2 linked regions of the Cricetulus griseus genome follow. The protein of the gene in region 2 purifies or fractionates together with the protein of the main gene of each other region. This does not show direct contact. Links are inferred from orthologs where the notes say so. Each region holds a gene or a part of one and is shown on either strand. Other genes may lie near its edges.

What was found.
Region 1: the proteins of Pak4 (region 2) and 14-3-3 protein epsilon purify together in Homo sapiens (affinity purification with mass spectrometry; 4 studies listed by BioGRID and IntAct, with this or other methods). This does not show direct contact. The link is inferred for Cricetulus griseus from reciprocal best matches to the Homo sapiens genes PAK4 and YWHAE.

What each region holds. Positions count from the first base shown.
Region 1 is NC_048600.1:89,184,193-89,188,237, reverse strand, and holds the start of 14-3-3 protein epsilon, read right to left. Parts: upstream 2,811-4,045; 5' UTR 2,697-2,810; coding exon 2,633-2,696; intron 1-2,632. UniProt on the Homo sapiens protein: Adapter protein implicated in the regulation of a large spectrum of both general and specialized signaling pathways. Binds to a large number of partners, usually by recognition of a phosphoserine or phosphothreonine motif.
Region 2 is NC_048602.1:7,276,955-7,280,465, reverse strand, and holds part of Pak4 (serine/threonine-protein kinase PAK 4), read right to left. Parts: intron 1,599-3,511; coding exon 1,146-1,598; intron 992-1,145; coding exon 560-991; intron 1-559. UniProt on the Homo sapiens protein: Serine/threonine-protein kinase that plays a role in a variety of different signaling pathways including cytoskeleton regulation, cell adhesion turnover, cell migration, growth, proliferation or cell survival.

The DNA.
Region 1 (4,045 bases), on a different chromosome or scaffold from region 2:
ATCCCTTCTATAGAGCCATTTCTATTACACAAACAAAGCTGAATCACTGCAGTCAGTCAAGTAGTGGTGGGTTTCCTGACTGCCTTCCTGCCTCTCCCGCTCTAGATCCCTCCTCATGCCAAATCACTGCAGTGCTTCCTATTGCATTCCCTTCTTTCTTTAAGAGTCTCAAAGGGACAGTCACCAAGTGGCTTGTCTACACTCCTATGTTCAATAACTAACAAGGCCAGACTTTAGTCAGAAACCCTCAGCACTCAAATCACAAGCATGATTTAAAGTTAACTTGCCATTTATTTGGAAGCTACAATCATGCAAGTTTCCAAATCCTTCCTAAAAATGACTCAGAAACAAAGCAAAAAGATTCCCTAATACCTTTCTATTGGGAGGAGGGGTCACATTCACACTAAGCCTAAATCCCCAGTCTTCAAATGTAATTTCATGTTTCCTCCCAAGGACACTAGATTCAGGGGACACTTCTTTCAGGGAGGCAGAGAGAGAACCCTCCATTACAACCAAACTCTCCTGGCTACAAACACTAAAATGAAGGCTGACCTTGAGCTACATTCATACTTTCCCCATCCCACCTCCTCCCACTCCCAACAGAAGCCAACAGCAACTCAAACCTGAAAGGCAAAATTCAGTTTAGTATCTTTCCTAAACTGGGGGTTTTGAAGCCTTCTGTTCTAAATTCCAAAGGCTGGAACAGTAATTTCTGACAAGACTCTAGGACTAGTTCTAGAAAAGCTGCAACAGAGCCAAACTGGAATTCAAGGAAAAGGGTCTGACCTAACTTTTGAAAAACAAGTGGCTTAAGTAATTTGGAAAAAATTAGGGGCAATAACACTTAATTCCAAACATGCATCCCATCCTAGCCCCCAACACTAAAATCACAAGGACCTATCTGCCTTAGTGCACATGCCTTTAATCAAAGCACTCAGGAGACTGATAGGTGGATCTCTGTGAGTTAGAGGCCAGCCTGGTCTACATACTAAGGTTTCAAGAAAGCCAGAGCGACAGAGTGAGACCCTATTCCTAAACAAACATAAATAAATCATGGTAAACATATATGTGATTTATCACTTTTAAAATACTACTTTGATAGATATTGCTTAACTGAAGTATCTAGGTACAAAATCAGAGAAAGGGAAGGCACAAAAAAAAACATAAATTGCCTACAACTGACTAAACACAAAAGATATTTCAATGAAATGGTGATAAGACTAAATTCAAATTAGCACGAGCTAAGGATAGAGCTTAGTGACAGAGAGCACTGTACAAGGGCTTGGGTTACATCACGGGGGTGAGGAAGTAGTGGGTGTCGAGTGAACAAAATAACTATTAAAATATGTACATAAAACCATTTGCTTAAAATAGATAAAACAGAGGTAGAGTGTATCTTAGTATATGAGCACTTGCTTTGCATGCATGCAACCCTGGGTTGGAACCCCAGCCACGCAACAATGAAGTCATAAAACAGGGGGAAAAAAAAAGAATTGTATTTCAAAATCCCCAAGCCTCAACCGAGTCCTCAAAATAGGTAAAGATCCCCAAGCCAAGCAACACGAATTTTCCAAACTTACGTCGTCAACCAAGGGAGTGTTACTAAACATTATTTAAATTAACTATTTTTCAACAGGTCTTTCCATGTGTCATAATGCTGAGTGCGAAGAGAAAAGTCATTTTTACAAACGGGTAGACTTGAGACACGGGTACTGTAAAAAGCCATCATTATTACAGGGTCCTGGCAAGCCTGGTCTCCTGTATTTAAGAATTCTATCCATCAGAACTCGGGCTTCTGAAGGTTGGGAAAAGAAAAAAGAAAAACCCACAGGAACTTTGGGATCCCCTGGGTGAGAACAAACGGAGCACGAGTGAGGCTCCACACATCCATGGGAGGAGGCGAGGCAGAGAAGCCCCCCAAAACCCTCAACTCCGAGGTGCGCCGGCCTGCGGGAAGGAATCCAATCGCAGCATCTCAGCTTGCCTCCACCCAAGGATGATCAATCTGCAGTGATTTCCACACACTCCACCCTCTCCAAAGACGACTCCCCACCAGCGGCCCAGAGAAGCCGTCCGCTCCTGAGGCTTCTCCTTTGTGAGGCTCCACAGCCGCCGCCCCACACTGGGCCTCCCGGGAAAAGCCACCGCCCCCACCCGCCATATTTCCCTGAAAAGGCGCCCGCGCTCCAGCTCCCTAAGATTCCGCCCTCCCCCGAGCGACCGCTGCTGCTTCGCACATCACCCCACCCGATTGTCCTCCGCATCCCGCCACGGTCCCGAAAGCTCCCGTGGGGATTGCGCGCCGGGAGACGGCACCCGCCACCTCCTCCCCCCTCCCCCGCCCGGGGACTCGCCCTCCCCCTTCAGCCGCCATTTTACAACCAACTCCTCCACCCTACTCCCCGGCCTGCTGGCGGGCGAGCGTCTGCAAGCTAAGGACACCGGAGGGGTCAAATTCCTGGGCCCGGAGACTCCCACCGCTTCGGGAGCCCGCAGGACATTTCCCGCTTCCCGACCCGCGTCCCGAGCCAGACTCGGGGACGATGCCGCCATTTTGTCTCCGGTTCCCGGCCTCTGTGGGCGGCGGCGGAGGGTCCGAGACTTCCAGCCCCCCGACACCCCTCCAACTCACCGTCGTATCGCTCGGCCTGCTCTGCCAGCTTCGCCTGGTACACCAGATCCTCCCGATCATCCATAGCGGCAGCGGCTCCGGCAGGGTCTGCGCGACGGATGGAAGCGGATAGCGTCTCCGACTCTCGGCTTCTCGCTCCGCGTCCGAGCAGTAAAAATGGCGGCGCTTCAATCCGGGACTTCCGCCTGCGCACGCGGACAACTGCTCAGCTCTATGGCAACCGCTCCCTGGCAACTGGCGCGGGGGGGCGGGTCCGGGAGTTCGGCGCCAGAAAAGGCTGGAACCAGCACGACTGACGCCCCTCCTCCGTCGGCTCAGCAGTAAGGCGGGAACTGCGACTGCGAAGAAGAACGGCCCAGGCGAGCGGGAGAGGCTGGAGGCCGAGACTGGGCTAAAGGAATGAGCCAGGATCCTGTTCGGTGGCCGCCGGCCGAGGACAGGCCTGCCTGCGGAAAGACCGAGCGAGCGAGAGGCTTGATGGGTTCTTGCAACTGCAGGCCTTCCTCACTGAGACCCACTCACTGTGCATTCCTGCACGTTTTTCTCATTCATGTGCCTTTTTCAGAGCCTTTTAACCTCTGTGTAAAGAACTGACAGGTGAACAAGGGAGGGCTCCAGTTTTTACGCGCCAACTTTTTTCTTGTTCACACACCGTAATCATGTTTTTCTTCCCTTCAGCCGTATTTTATCGCTTTGGCCCATCACAGATAGGACTTTTGTTTAAAGGCCCTGGTTTTAACGTGGTGTTGGTGCCACACTCCTTCAACCCCACCACTCCGGAGGCATTGGAAGGCAGATCTCTATGAGTTCTCGAAGCCAGCCTGGTCTGCACAGTTCCAGGACAGCCAAGGTTACACAGAGAAACCTTGCTTCTAAAAATCAAAAAAGAAACAAAAGTCTCTGGTTTTTTTTGTGTGTGTGGTGGTGCATACCTTTAATCTCAGCATTAAGGAGTCAGGAGGATCTCTGAGATTGGGACCAGCCTGCTCTACAAAGCGAATTTCAGGTCAGCCAGGGCTGCATTGTGAGACCTCCATCGGAAGGAAGGAAGGAAGGAAGGAAGGAAGGAAGGAAGGAAGGAAGGAAGGAAGGAAGGAAGGAAGGAAGGACAGACGGATGTGTGGTGTGTGTGTGTGTCTGTGTCTGTGTCTGTGTCTGGTTTTCCTGGGCATGCGTGGTTATATCCCACCCCTCCATACCAGCACTATAGTGGCTGAGGTTGAAGCAAGTTGGAATAAGATCAGCAACTTGAAGCCAATCCAGGCTATATAGGGAAATCCTGACTAAAGCGGAAAAGAAAGTGGCATGCCTAGTTTGGAGTTCAAGGTGCACCAGAGGTCGAGTAAGGACAAATTGACATTAATTAGCTAGAAACAAATAACCCTCAATCGGAATTGCTTCTCTTGCAATGGA
Region 2 (3,511 bases):
AGCTAAGGCCGGGCATTCTTAAGTGATAAGTGGATTTTATTTGGGAGCTGGTAGGGGGCCCCCCCAAAATAACAAGGAGTAAAAGAGCCACAGAGTGAAAGAACAACAGTGGCAGGCTGGACCCCTGGACGCTGCCTTAGGCTGTGGAGACAGACACTGAGAGACACGTAAAGACTTCAGTGCCACACAAGTCCTTAGGCTGTGGAGACAGACACTGAGAGACACGGAAAGACTTCAGTGCCAAAGGCCCTTCCCTTGAATACGTACAGAGTCCGGGGGCCTGAGAGAGGCTGGAGCAGAGCCCCAGGGCCACAGAGGACACACAGCAGTGGGACTGGGGGAATGGGCACTGGCTGTGCTCCAGAGTAAGGCACGACAGTTTCCCAGAGACAGGGACCCTGAGAGAAGAAGAGGTCTGGAGGGGAGCACACAGGCCCAGAACTAGTTGGAAAATGTCAGCCTGGGTCATGGGCGCTTGGTAGGACAGGCCAGGCAGGAGCCTTAGGCTGGGGACAGCTGTGAGGAGAGGACCGTGCTGAGCTTCCTGGCCTGTACCTACCTCGTTGAAGAGCAGCTCCCGTCTTTGCTGTTTGCGCAGGTCCATCTTCTTGACGGCCACCAGTTTGCCTGAGCTGCGCACAGTGGCTATGCACACGATACCAGTAGAGCCCTCGCCAATCTTGATGAAGTTATCTAGATAGGAACGGGGGTCCCCTGGGTCTACTACCAGCTGCAGAGCAGCCCGGAACTGCTCGTGGGACACTCTCTGGGGCTCCCGCTGTGGTGAGCGAGGCCCAGGGGGCCCAGGGACAGGGGGTGCCACAAGAGCACGTGCTGGGGGGGCCAGCTGGGGCTCAGAGGCGTGGGGGCCCAGCACTCCTGGGCTGGGAGCACCATGGGCTCGGGTGGGAGGCCGGGAGGAAGATGAAGACTGAGGGGCAGCCAGGCCCGTGGCTGATGGCCCATTAGGGGCCACACTGTGTGGCTCCCCCTGCAACAGAAGAAAGGCATCATGAGCGTGGAGGGTGCTTTGACTCTCCCCAGCCGGATGACATACAAGGGAAGTCAGGGTGAGATGGGGTGTGGCTGGGGAAAGGGAAGCAAGGGAAGGGGACACTGAGGTGCTGAAGTGGGGGATGGGTTACCTGGGCACCTCGGGGTGGGTGGTCCGAGTCAGCCCGTGGGTATGTGTTAAAGGGTCTGCCAGCTGCTAGTTTTGCCCCACTGGCCAGATTGGCAGGCTGGGGAGTGCTAACATCAGGCCCAGAGAGGGGGCGCTTATCTCGGGAGGCCTCCTGGGGCCCTCCAGGGCCCTCCCTGGAAGCCTTGGGCCTCTTCTCGGGCCCCACCCGCCGTCTGTCACCACCGCCTGCCTCGCTGTGGCCTGTGGCCCGGCCTTTGCCTCCAGTCTTGTCAGGGGCCGTTCTGGCCAGGGCTGCCCGCTCCTCCAGCATTCCGTTCTCCTGGTGGGCACGGGCAGGTGGTGGAGGGCTGTCTCTGCGCAGGGAGTTGGAGCGCGTGACCGACATGTTCTCAAACTCGTCCAGCAGCAGCGTGAGGGCCCCATCCTTGACACCTTTGCTGCCCCGCACGATGGTCTGGGGTCCAGGCAATGGCAGGATAAGGCCAGGAAGGAGGGGACACAGAAACAAGACAATACAACACGAAAACAAGACAGAGACAGTAAAGTACTGGTGTGGTGATGATGAGGAGGAGTGACAGGGGACCCTAAAGTGCCCCAAGAACTCCTCTCTTGCCCATCACCACTCTGGGGGCTCCCCAAGTGCCTCTTGAGTTTCCTTGGCTCCCAGTCTGGCAGCAAGTTCTGCCCTGTGGACTGGGGTGAGGGAGGTAAACACAGCCTATAATCAACCCCCGAGAGCTGCAAATTACAGGCCACTTGGCTCGGCACTTCCTCCCTTGCAGGCTGCCAGCGTCATTAACCCCCAAACCATGCACTCTGATCCTCTAGGGCAGAGGACGGGGTGCAGGGGAGAAAGCCCACAGCCTAAAGTCAAGGCCTAGGAGCCGTGTGGCATATACATCCTGAACCACCAGGCTCACACCTCCCTGGCCCCACTCAGTTGTGGTCTCCACAGTTCCTCTATGTCCTGAGCCCCAGGCACACAGGCTTCTTCACTGTTTCCCCAATACACCAGACATGTGCTCATCAGCTCTTTGCCCTGCCCACAACCTACATCTTCCAAATGTCTCCATGGCTGCCCTGTTCCCCTCCACAAGGTCTCTGGCTCTTTCCCGTTTCCCCCTGGCCCTTAGTGCCAGCTGACATGGCTGTGCACCCACCAGGCTGCTCTATCCCCTGTGAGCTTCCCAGGGACTGAGTGCTCTTTCTGCTATTTACAGTCCCGCCTAGGTCTTGGCTCCAAGATCAGTGTCCATACCATGAGGAAGGGAGAGGGGGCAGACAGGAGGGTTGGGGGAGCTGTCCCACCGCTGCCCCCAGGTGGCAGGCAGACCCAGGACCTGGACAGCTTCTGATAGGCTGAGGGTATGCTGAACTCACAAGAACCACCTGTGGTCCCAGACAGGTCCTGGCAGTCTGCCTAGAAGTCTGGTCTTGCTCTGGGAGCCAAGTAAGCAAGGTGGATGTTAGGTCTCAAACCCCAGACAAATGGCTGAGGAGCCTATTTACCATATCAAAGCTGACCTGGCTGCTGGGCTCTCCCAGCCTCCCTTGGTCCCTACCTGGCTGGCATCCCTGTCCTCTACCTGCCTTCCCCCTATATAATCCAGCCATTTTGGCTGAGCTGCTCCTTTTACCTTTTTTACCGTTTACCCTTCTGGCTGATTGGTCTCCTAGCTTTCCCTTCCCCACTCTCCTCACAAGGCCCAGTCATGTCCACTCTGGACTCCTGGAGACCTGCCTCCTGCTGTGCTCTCCCTCATATCTACAATAAATCTCCTCCTCCACACCTGGGAGCACTCAAGCCTCCTCCTTTATTTTTCTTCATTCAGTGGATACCTGCCAGTCTTTGGTATTAGAACTTGGGGTCAATGGCCAAGAACTTTGGACGTGTAGGCAGTAGCAGCTAAGGTGCCCGCATGTGAATTAGGGCAAGCGCCCTTCCCCTTGCAGGCTGGGGATGGGGGCAGGATGGGAGCAGGGGTGAAATTATGGGGACATCTAGTAGGGACACAACCTGTGAGAAACAGCCACAGAGCTCAGTGGAGCACAGGAGGGCCTAGGGTGGGCTGTCTGGGGACTAGGACCCAAGAAGCAGAGCTGCTTCAGAGCCAGTTTCTACTGGCTTCCAGCTGGCCTGAGTCATGAGAAGCCATACAGAGTCAGATGATAGGGCCTTTCTGAGCCATGGAGAGAAGACAAGGCTCAGATGACCCTGCCAGGCTCAGCCTGGGCCCAAGCACTGTGGCTGAGGACACCCTGCTGGTTCTGCCTCTTTGCTGCCAGGCCTGGGCTGGTCCCTGGGAGAGGATGAGTCAGCTACAGTGCCAGGCACCCAGTCCGCTGACCACAGGCACACCCAGCTCC